Caenorhabditis elegans: one gene and its partner. The protein of the gene in region 1 purifies or fractionates together with the protein of each later gene. This does not show direct contact. Each region holds a gene or a part of one and is shown in the gene's direction. Other genes may lie near its edges.

Region 1 (4,295 bases):
TCTATCTGAGTTCAATTTCCACGAAAATTCTTCCTTTTTTTGATATTTCTAGAAGTTCACATAATTTTACAAAAATAAAAATACAATGCCGCGGGCTAGAAGAAAGTAGACAAACTATAAATTAAAAAACAACCGTTTTGATGTCATTATACCACTAACGTGAAACAGTGGAAATTTTCGAACGTTCCAAAATCAAGTTATTATATGAAAAGGCAGAAAATGTTTTAAAATGTTCTCTGTAGATTTTATTCGTATGTAGCAATGTATTGGCGATCTGGTATACCTGAAAAACTCTACCATGGAAATCCACACTATGATAGAAAACATTCAACATTAAATTTTTAATCTGAAAAAAGTTGTTCATGTTGTAAGAAATCTGCACACAAACGTAAATAATTTTCAGTTTCAAGAGTGTTTTCAAATTTCGCAATAGATGCCCAAATCTAGTTTCAAAATCCCATGCACTTTGTGTTTTAGTAGAGCTATTTTTATTTAACTTGACGAAACATGAACATTTTAGTTTTTTGTGTAGGTTTTCAGGTTTTTTTTCAAATACTACACTTTTTAATGTTTTACTGTTTCAGACAAAGTAGATAATTTTCAAACAATGTTTTTTAATGTATTGAAGCTAATTTATATCTCAAAAAATGCAATTGTAAATAGACGCCCACACTTAATCAAAGTATCAGAGATCGTGTTTACTTTGAGATGGTTTTCACCAATGTGACGTGGCAAAATGATTTATTTATTTATTTTTCGTTATTTTCACAAGATGCTCGAATTGTGAAGAATTAAAATGATGTAGGGTTTGAATTTTTATTACTGTTTCAAACATTGTTTGAAAATCAATGCGTAATTACTATTGCGTTCTCGGCTTTTTTGAATTTTGAAGTTAGAAATTTGCAAAATAAGAAATCAGTTTATGCTTCCAAAAATTGTGGTTTTTTTTTCTGGATTTTTAGCTATCGAAAATTAAATAATATATATTTACATCAAGAATACAAAAGAATGCAACTTTTTATAAAGTCGAGGCTAATTTTTATATTTAATTTCAAACATTCTAAAAACCCTGGAAACTCTAAATATTTACAAAAATGTAAATAATCGAGTGTGATTTTCTGTGACAAATCCTTCCTTCCAATTCTCTTCTTTTCAATTTAAAGTGCGGTCACTGCCACAGACATCTCATTTTTCACCTCCACAGCCTCCCGGCGGTCACTATTATTCCGATCCTATCTCATTCACTTTTGTTTCAAAATATTTTTACAATGGGTTCTTCTTTTTGCCTCATTCTTTTATTTTTGTTTTGTGCTTTTTATGAGTCATTCCTCTTGAGATGTGATTCTTTTTTTTGGAATGTTTACCCGTTGAGGTACTCTTTGAAACTGTTATTATTACTTTTCTTAACTTTGCCTTGTGATTTCGAATATAAAAGATACGTTATTCGTGTTTCTTGTTGACAATAGTTCATGCTTATCACCGTCCCATTTTTATCAGTTTTATCATTTTATTATCAAATTTAAATCAATCTTCTTCATTTGTTCCTATTTCTTATATTGAAATCTCAATTAATTGAAGTCCATTAGTCTATATACTTTCTTTTAATTCAACTAATGGATTCTTCAGCGACTAAAATGTTCCGAGAGAAAGACGTTTCGACACGACTCATTCGACCGACTATCACTGAAATTCACGTGGATAAACTTGCACTTTTTGTGGAAAGATGGAATCACGATTGGGAAATTGATGCAAGTATTAAGGTAATTTTAAAATTTTACTGTTTCAGAATTTTCGTTTAAAAAAGTATCACGTGACGGACAATGTTAACTGTGGTTCAACTGCCAAAATATTTTTTCGTAATTTTTAGAACATTTTCTGGAATATATTAAGCATATTATGTCTTGCAAGCTGGTTTATACCGATTAATCTTGGAGAACTAAGTATGAGTAGTTACTTCGTTTAATTAATAGAACCAAAAAGTTTCAGATTTTTCAAATTTCTGGTAAATAGCCAAAAAATACGGACTTTGTAAAATTTCAAGTAAACTTGAAATCCTAACTTCGTCGTATGTTCCTCGCATATTGGTCATCTCTCCTTTTTGCAATTTCGGTTGCCTCGTTCGTCGTATATTCGTCGTATATTGCGTCGTACATTCCGGACTTCCTTCTAAATGTATGAGCAAAATGCGAGGAATGTACGATGCGAATTGCCGAGATAGTCATGCAGATAAAAAAAACTCTGTAATGTTTTAATTAATTAGAAATACATAATAAATTATAAAATTACAAGAACAATTTTTCGGTCAATTCCCAAAATTGTAATAAAGGAAAGGCTTTTTTTTTAGGAAATTTCAAAAAATTTGTTTAAAAATTTTCGCTGTGATATTTTTCATTTCAGTACACGCAAAAAAATAGTAGGAAAAAACACCTTCTTGTGACTTTCGATCAAATATTTTTGCAGTCGAATAAATCAAAATAGGTTTAGTAAACAAATTCGAAAAAAATTACTGTTTCAACAACATTTTAAACACTTTCACTAGAAAACATGGCTACTGTACTATGTATTCATTATGTCCAGATTTTCGACGAAGGAATTGCACAATACATGCTGACTGATGTTGAATCACATTACAAATATTTCGCGGCATTAATCCTATCCAAACCAAGTTTGCGGTGCCGAATTGTTAAAGAAGAGCCAAGAGATGAGTTGGAAGAACAGGAGAACCGAATTATTTTGGTGAGACAAAATTAGGTATTAAATTGACAAAAAACAACTAATTTCCTCCAAAAAACCCCCTTTTTTGAATCAGAATCTCCCAAAACGTTTTTTTAATTACCTCCACGATGAGAACTGCAAAACCGATCCACGATTTGCTCCGACCGCTTTTGAAACAATCAAATGAAATGAATGGAATTCGAAAACACTGATCGGTTTTGCAGTTTTAATCTTTTAGAAAACTTGTGATGAAAGATGGGTCACAATTAAACATACAATGAAAATTTAGTCCCGGGAAGACGTTAAACTATTAATAAATGATTAAATCGAAATTGATATAAAAACTTGTTGAAACATGAATTTCATTTTTTTTTTAATAATTCGCACTTTCTGCATTTTGTCAATTTGTAACATCTGGAAGCCTGCCGAGTAGACACAAAACTGCCTGCCTGCCTTTAAAGCTACCTACGCCTGATCCGTGCCTACTGGCAATTATTGGTTTTTTCCGAAGGAAGAAAATTAGAAATTGATAGTTTAAACTGTTACAACTCTATACATCGGATATTATGAAAAATTTAAATCTGAGGCGGTAGGCAGGCGTGTAGGCATGTAGGCATGAGAAAAAATTTTCGCCTATTAAAATAAAATAATTTCCAGCTCGGCGGAGAAAAGCTGAATACAGAAAGCCACGGAAGTATCGAATTTCTAAAAAATGTACTGCACAAACGTGGATATCGATTCGAATAACGACAATTATACATGTTCCCCAATACACTGATGAATAACTAATGCACGTCTCTTGTCTGTACCCTCCTCAATTTGCACCCCCACAATGTTTTATTGATTAAAAAAAAGAATTGTTGAGAACCTTAATCACTGATGTTTTACCAACAACTTTTTCATATTTAGCCTGTTTATTTATTTATTCCGGTTTTCTCGTTCTCTCGTATCTCCATTTTGCTTTATGGCACGGCCTTATAACACAAGTTGAGACACACTTGTGGATGCCGACGCCCAGAGGCCCAACAAACTGAACGCCAGTACCGACAGGCACCGACCCCCAGGCATTGGAAAAAGCATGAGAGAGTTAGACGCCGAGAGATAGAGACAATGTGTCTGCGTTTCTCGGAATTTTCAGATATTTACTATTTACATTGACCTGTTCATGAAAAACTGACATTAAGCAATTTTCAGATTGCATTTTTTGCTTAAAATGATATAAAGTTGAGAACAGTTTTACAGGGAGGCCCTGTTATTGGACTGGGTCTTGCAGCGAAATGTTGTTGTTTGTCTGTAGAACTTTTACGACAAACCAAGATGTTTTATTTCTAGTTTGAAAGTATTTATATTATTAATAAATAAAATAAATTTATTTCAAAAGTTTTGATGGTCTCTAAAAGATTAGAACTGAACAAAAAATTAGTAAAAATGCTCTTTATTGGAAAATTGTCTAATTTTTTTCTCTTTTTTCTGTGCAGCTTTTAAAAATTATCGAGCAAAATTGAATAAATTTAAACTTAAAATTAAATTTAAAACTTTCCAAATACAGTAATCTCTGCGTTTAAAGGCGCATGCGTAAT
Region 2 (4,364 bases), on another chromosome or scaffold:
AAAAGATGGTTGTTACAGTGGCCGAGAAATAACTCTTCCACTCACCTTAATCTTCTTTTGTCGTTTCGAGTTTTGTTGTCTCTTCGAGTTTTGCTTCTTGTCTCGTTTTGATCGTTTCGATCGCTTTGATCTCGCCGATTTTCCTTTGCCACCACGCGAATTCTCACGATGTCCGGTGGTACAGCCGACGGCAATGATCGCTCCAGAAATTGACGCAGCAGCAGCGAAACACACTGAAAAACAAGGAAATTGAGATAAATTGATATTTCCGGCACTTTTGGCAATCGATAATTACCGGCAACTGTCGCCATTGCCTTTAACTATTACGAACCGGCAAAATTGGATTTATCGGCGCTTAGCGGCAACTATTGTTAATTGCCGGCGACTATCAGTAATCAATAAAATTAGAGTTTCATTGCCGGCGGTCAGCGGTGACTATCGTTAATCGAAAAAAAAATCCATTTGTTACAAGTAATGGCTGCTGCCGGCCACTATCGGCAACCGCCGGCGACTACCGGCAATCAATAAAATCGGAGTTATTGAAGATTGTCAGCAACCATTATGACACTTATTGATTTTTGTAGACACGCCGGCAACAGAAGCGGCAATGCTCCGACAACATCCTCGGCGATCGCTCAGCAACCATCGGCAACTTTTCCTAAACTCACGGTAATTCATGGCACCATGGAGGTGCTCCATATCCAAGCTCATTGTGAAGAGTCGAAATTTCGAAATAATTGATTTTTCGCCGAACAAGATTTGTGGTCCCGTGAGTTGAGATTTGATTATTTGATAAGAAAGGTCAGCACGGTCATTGACATTTTTTTAATTTTAATTTTTTTCTTTTTAATATTTTTGAAAAATAAATTTTAAGTAAAATTTTAGATAATTTTTACAGTGGTCTCTTGTTGATCTCGGCTGGAAGAGGAGTGACGTCACAGATGGCCTAAGAAAATGTGGTGTGACCAAGTTTTCCGCCAATTTCTGTTTCAGAAATTTGTTTAAAAATTTTTTTTCTAATTCAACACTAATTTCTCCTCAGAAAATTCAATTTTTCCGCCAAAAAAAAAGTTTCCCAGAAAATTTGAATTTCTCGTCAAGTTTTTTTAAATCAAAAATTTGAATTACCCGCAAATGTTTTTCTTTAAAGATTTCAAGCTCCCGCAAAAAAATTTCTGAGAAAATTAAAATTTTTCGTCAATTTTTGTTCAAAAAAATTGAATTTACTCGCCAAAATTTTTGTTTCAGAAAATTTGAATTCCCTCCCATTAACTCAAACAATTTGAAATTCCCGCCAATATTTGCCACAGAAGATTTAAATTTTCCACCAAATTCCGTTGTTTCAAATTTTAATTCCCCACTAACTTTTGCTCAGAAATTTTGAATTTTTCTGAAAAAAATTTGAACAAATTTGGCATATCCCTTTAAAAAATATAGATGGCAGATAAAAAACTACAAAAAAAATTTAAGTCGATTTTCCCCATCTCTCCATTGGAAAAATCGATATTTCTATACCTAATAAATATGAATCCGTTGACCTCAAAATATTTGTTTTCCCGACTTCAGAGACTATCTCCCGGGAAGATATATCTTCACGGAGACGAGGGATATATCTTTCGATAGGTCATTTCTTCTTCTTCTGCTATTCAATTGTTATTATTCAATATTTATACACCGAAATGGCCAAAATTCTCTTGTTCCTTCTCTCGACTTTCTTCGTTTTTTCCATTGTCTCCGGGCAACAAACAAACTATGAAAATTGTCTCACGAAGCTCAACAAAATGAAGAATATTTTGAATAATTTGAAGCTGGAAACTACGAAACACGGCAAAAATGTGAAAATTGGTAATTTGGAAACATTTTATCATATGTGCATTGACACAACGGTTAGTTTTATTTTTTTCAGCAAAAATTTGAAAAATAGAGTTTCGAAAAATATTGAATTTTCAACAAAAAATTTCTGCAAAAGTAGTAGGTGGCCTAGAAATTCTGCGGCCACCGATTTCCAATTTTTCTCAAATGTAGTTTGTGAACATTAAATTCGTTTCAAATAATGCCAAAAAAAATTCCATGGGAGGCAGGCGCGGTTTCAGGGCCTGCCTTCATCCTGCCCGCCTCAGCCTCTGGCCTCTCAACATTTTTCTACACAATGGCGAGAAGGAATATTTAGCACATTGGCAAATTGCCGGTTTGCCGATTTGCCGGAAGTTTTTAAAGGGATTTTTTCATAAGACGGAAACACTTAAAACTGTGCTTTTTTGAAAATTTTCCCGTTTTCTTTAAATATTTTCATAGAATCTGCTCACTTTTCAAAATATATGTAGGAAAATTTATAAGGTACGTACAAATCTGCCGATTGAAATTGAAATTCTGAAATTTCCTTTAAAAAATTGTGCAAAAGCACAATTTGCCCAAAATTTTCGGCAATCTGCCAATTTACCAATTTCCGGAAAAATGGTTTGGTCGCCACAAGGCGGGCGAGGTAGGCTTCTCTGCGCCTGCGTGGAAGCCTACTGGATAGAGCTTCTGTGATCACAACCAAGAAGTGGGCGGAACGAAAGGCCACGCCCGTTTAACGGCTCCCAAAAAAATTATGAGCATCAGAGGCCACGCCCAAAATTTGGTACATCACTTTTAGTTTTTTTTTGATATTTAAAAAATTAAAAGTTTTCAGAACTGCGTAGAATCAATGGAAATCCCAGAGCTACTAAAAAGTATTTTGAGATTCGGAACAATGTTCATGAGATCCGCCTGTGAAGACTTGGGCTTAAAAGTCGGACCATTCAGTAAATGCATGGAAAAGGTACCTACAAGCTTCTCCGAAAAAGATCCTCTAGAACATTTTATTTCAGACAAAATTCGACGTAACTACTCTGAAAAACACGACGATTGGAGAGGATAAACCAAAGTGCTGGTTGACACCTGACGAGTTTTCAGAGCTTCAACGGGTTGTTCAAGAGCAATGCGGAGATGAAGCATGGGAGGATATGTTGAAGAATGAGGATAAGGTCAAAGTGATGACTTGTGAAAATCAGCCATAATGTATCCAAACGACATTCCGATTCGCGGGGGTTGATCCCCTTTTTATCAAATGAAAAGCACCTATATTGTGTTCATTGTTTTTTTTAACCTTATTTTAACTTTAACCGGGAAACGAAGCCCAACTCAGGATATGGGCGGACTCTCTGTATTTTTCGATGTATCGATTTCCTTTGTTTGGATTTCCGGGATCTTGGTTGAAATTATAAATGACCAGGACATTAAGAAAACATTGGCCATAACGATTTATTTTATTTTTAAAATTCTAACAAACTATCATAAAACTGTCTCTGTTATTTATTATAGTTATTTATTATTTATTTATTATTTATTTATTTATTATATTTATATATTTATTCCACAAATTCAATATGCGAAAAACGAACGAAACCCTGTGTGCCACTAGGTAGGCGTCTGCGCACATTCTGCGCCGATTAATTTCTTTTCTATTTATCGGAAAGTGCGCAGACGGCGTCAAAAAGTGGGGCTGGAGACCAGCCACAGCCCCAAAAGGAGCTCAGCCCCACTGTAGGGGCTAGCTAATAGTGCATCTTTATGTTTTAAATAAAAAGTGCATTCAAAATTTGCGATACATCCATTTTGAGATAGTTTGTGAGCTGATAGCTTGTTTTTAACGATATATGAAAAATTGGTCATTTTTTTCTGCGGCCGACTTGTTGAGATGCTTGCAGAGATTATCTCTAAAATGTTGAGAAGTAGGAAAAAGTTGTCATCTGGTCAACATTTAGTTAGTTGATAGCACAAAATTGCATTATATAAAAGTTTCAAAATTGCCTTCATTCTTCAAACATCTTCATTTCGAATTAGGATTACCTGAAATTTTGATTTTCAAGCTATTACTAGAATTATTTGAAGGCTTGTAGATCCTGTTGCATCCAAAATATTCACGAATAAAATTCTCATTATCCAGCATTTCTTTGACGGCACGGGGGCCGCATATATTTTCTATTGGCATTGTCTTGCATTCATTGTCAGCCTCGAAATACTCGCATGTTGGAAGTTGTGCCTAAAAATCATATATTTGTAATGCAAATGCGCTCCACAGCACGCAAAATTCAAACTTATGTAAAAAAGAAATCTTACCGCATTATTCCAATGGCTTAAGCACGGCCACTCCATTAATGTGATGGCATTTTGAATCTGAATTTTTTTTCAGTTTTTGTCTCTTTTAGTCTTTTTGGAATACCTTTGGAATACAATATCCAAACCATGATCCAAATGCGCCAATTCCATTACAAAGTTCGTCCAGATCCGTGATTTTCTTCGAAATTTCGTTGTCTTTTTTGTCGCAGTTTAGAGATTTT

The links.
Region 2: the proteins of T19E7.6 (region 1) and Y23H5B.8 fractionate together in Caenorhabditis elegans (co-fractionation; one large-scale study listed by BioGRID). This does not show direct contact.

Annotation. Positions count from the first base shown.
Region 1 is NC_003282.8:5,666,835-5,671,129, reverse strand, and holds T19E7.6 (SCP2_2 domain-containing protein), read left to right. Parts: upstream 1-1,626; 5' UTR 1,627-1,634; coding exon 1,635-1,760; intron 1,761-1,824; exon of another isoform or gene 1,825-1,845; intron 1,846-2,110; exon of another isoform or gene 2,111-2,209; intron 2,210-2,552; exon of another isoform or gene 2,553-2,573; intron 2,574-2,577; coding exon 2,578-2,736; intron 2,737-3,004; exon of another isoform or gene 3,005-3,029; intron 3,030-3,372; coding exon 3,373-3,462; 3' UTR 3,463-3,583; downstream 3,584-4,295.
Region 2 is NC_003279.8:2,545,643-2,550,006, reverse strand, and holds Y23H5B.8 (T20D4.11-like domain-containing protein), read left to right. Parts: upstream 1-1,607; 5' UTR 1,608-1,679; coding exon 1,680-1,886; intron 1,887-2,674; coding exon 2,675-2,803; intron 2,804-2,852; coding exon 2,853-3,041; 3' UTR 3,042-3,621; downstream 3,622-4,364. Other genes in the region: Y23H5B.3 (T20D4.11-like domain-containing protein), read right to left, coding at 3,854-4,066, 4,144-4,200, 4,247-4,364.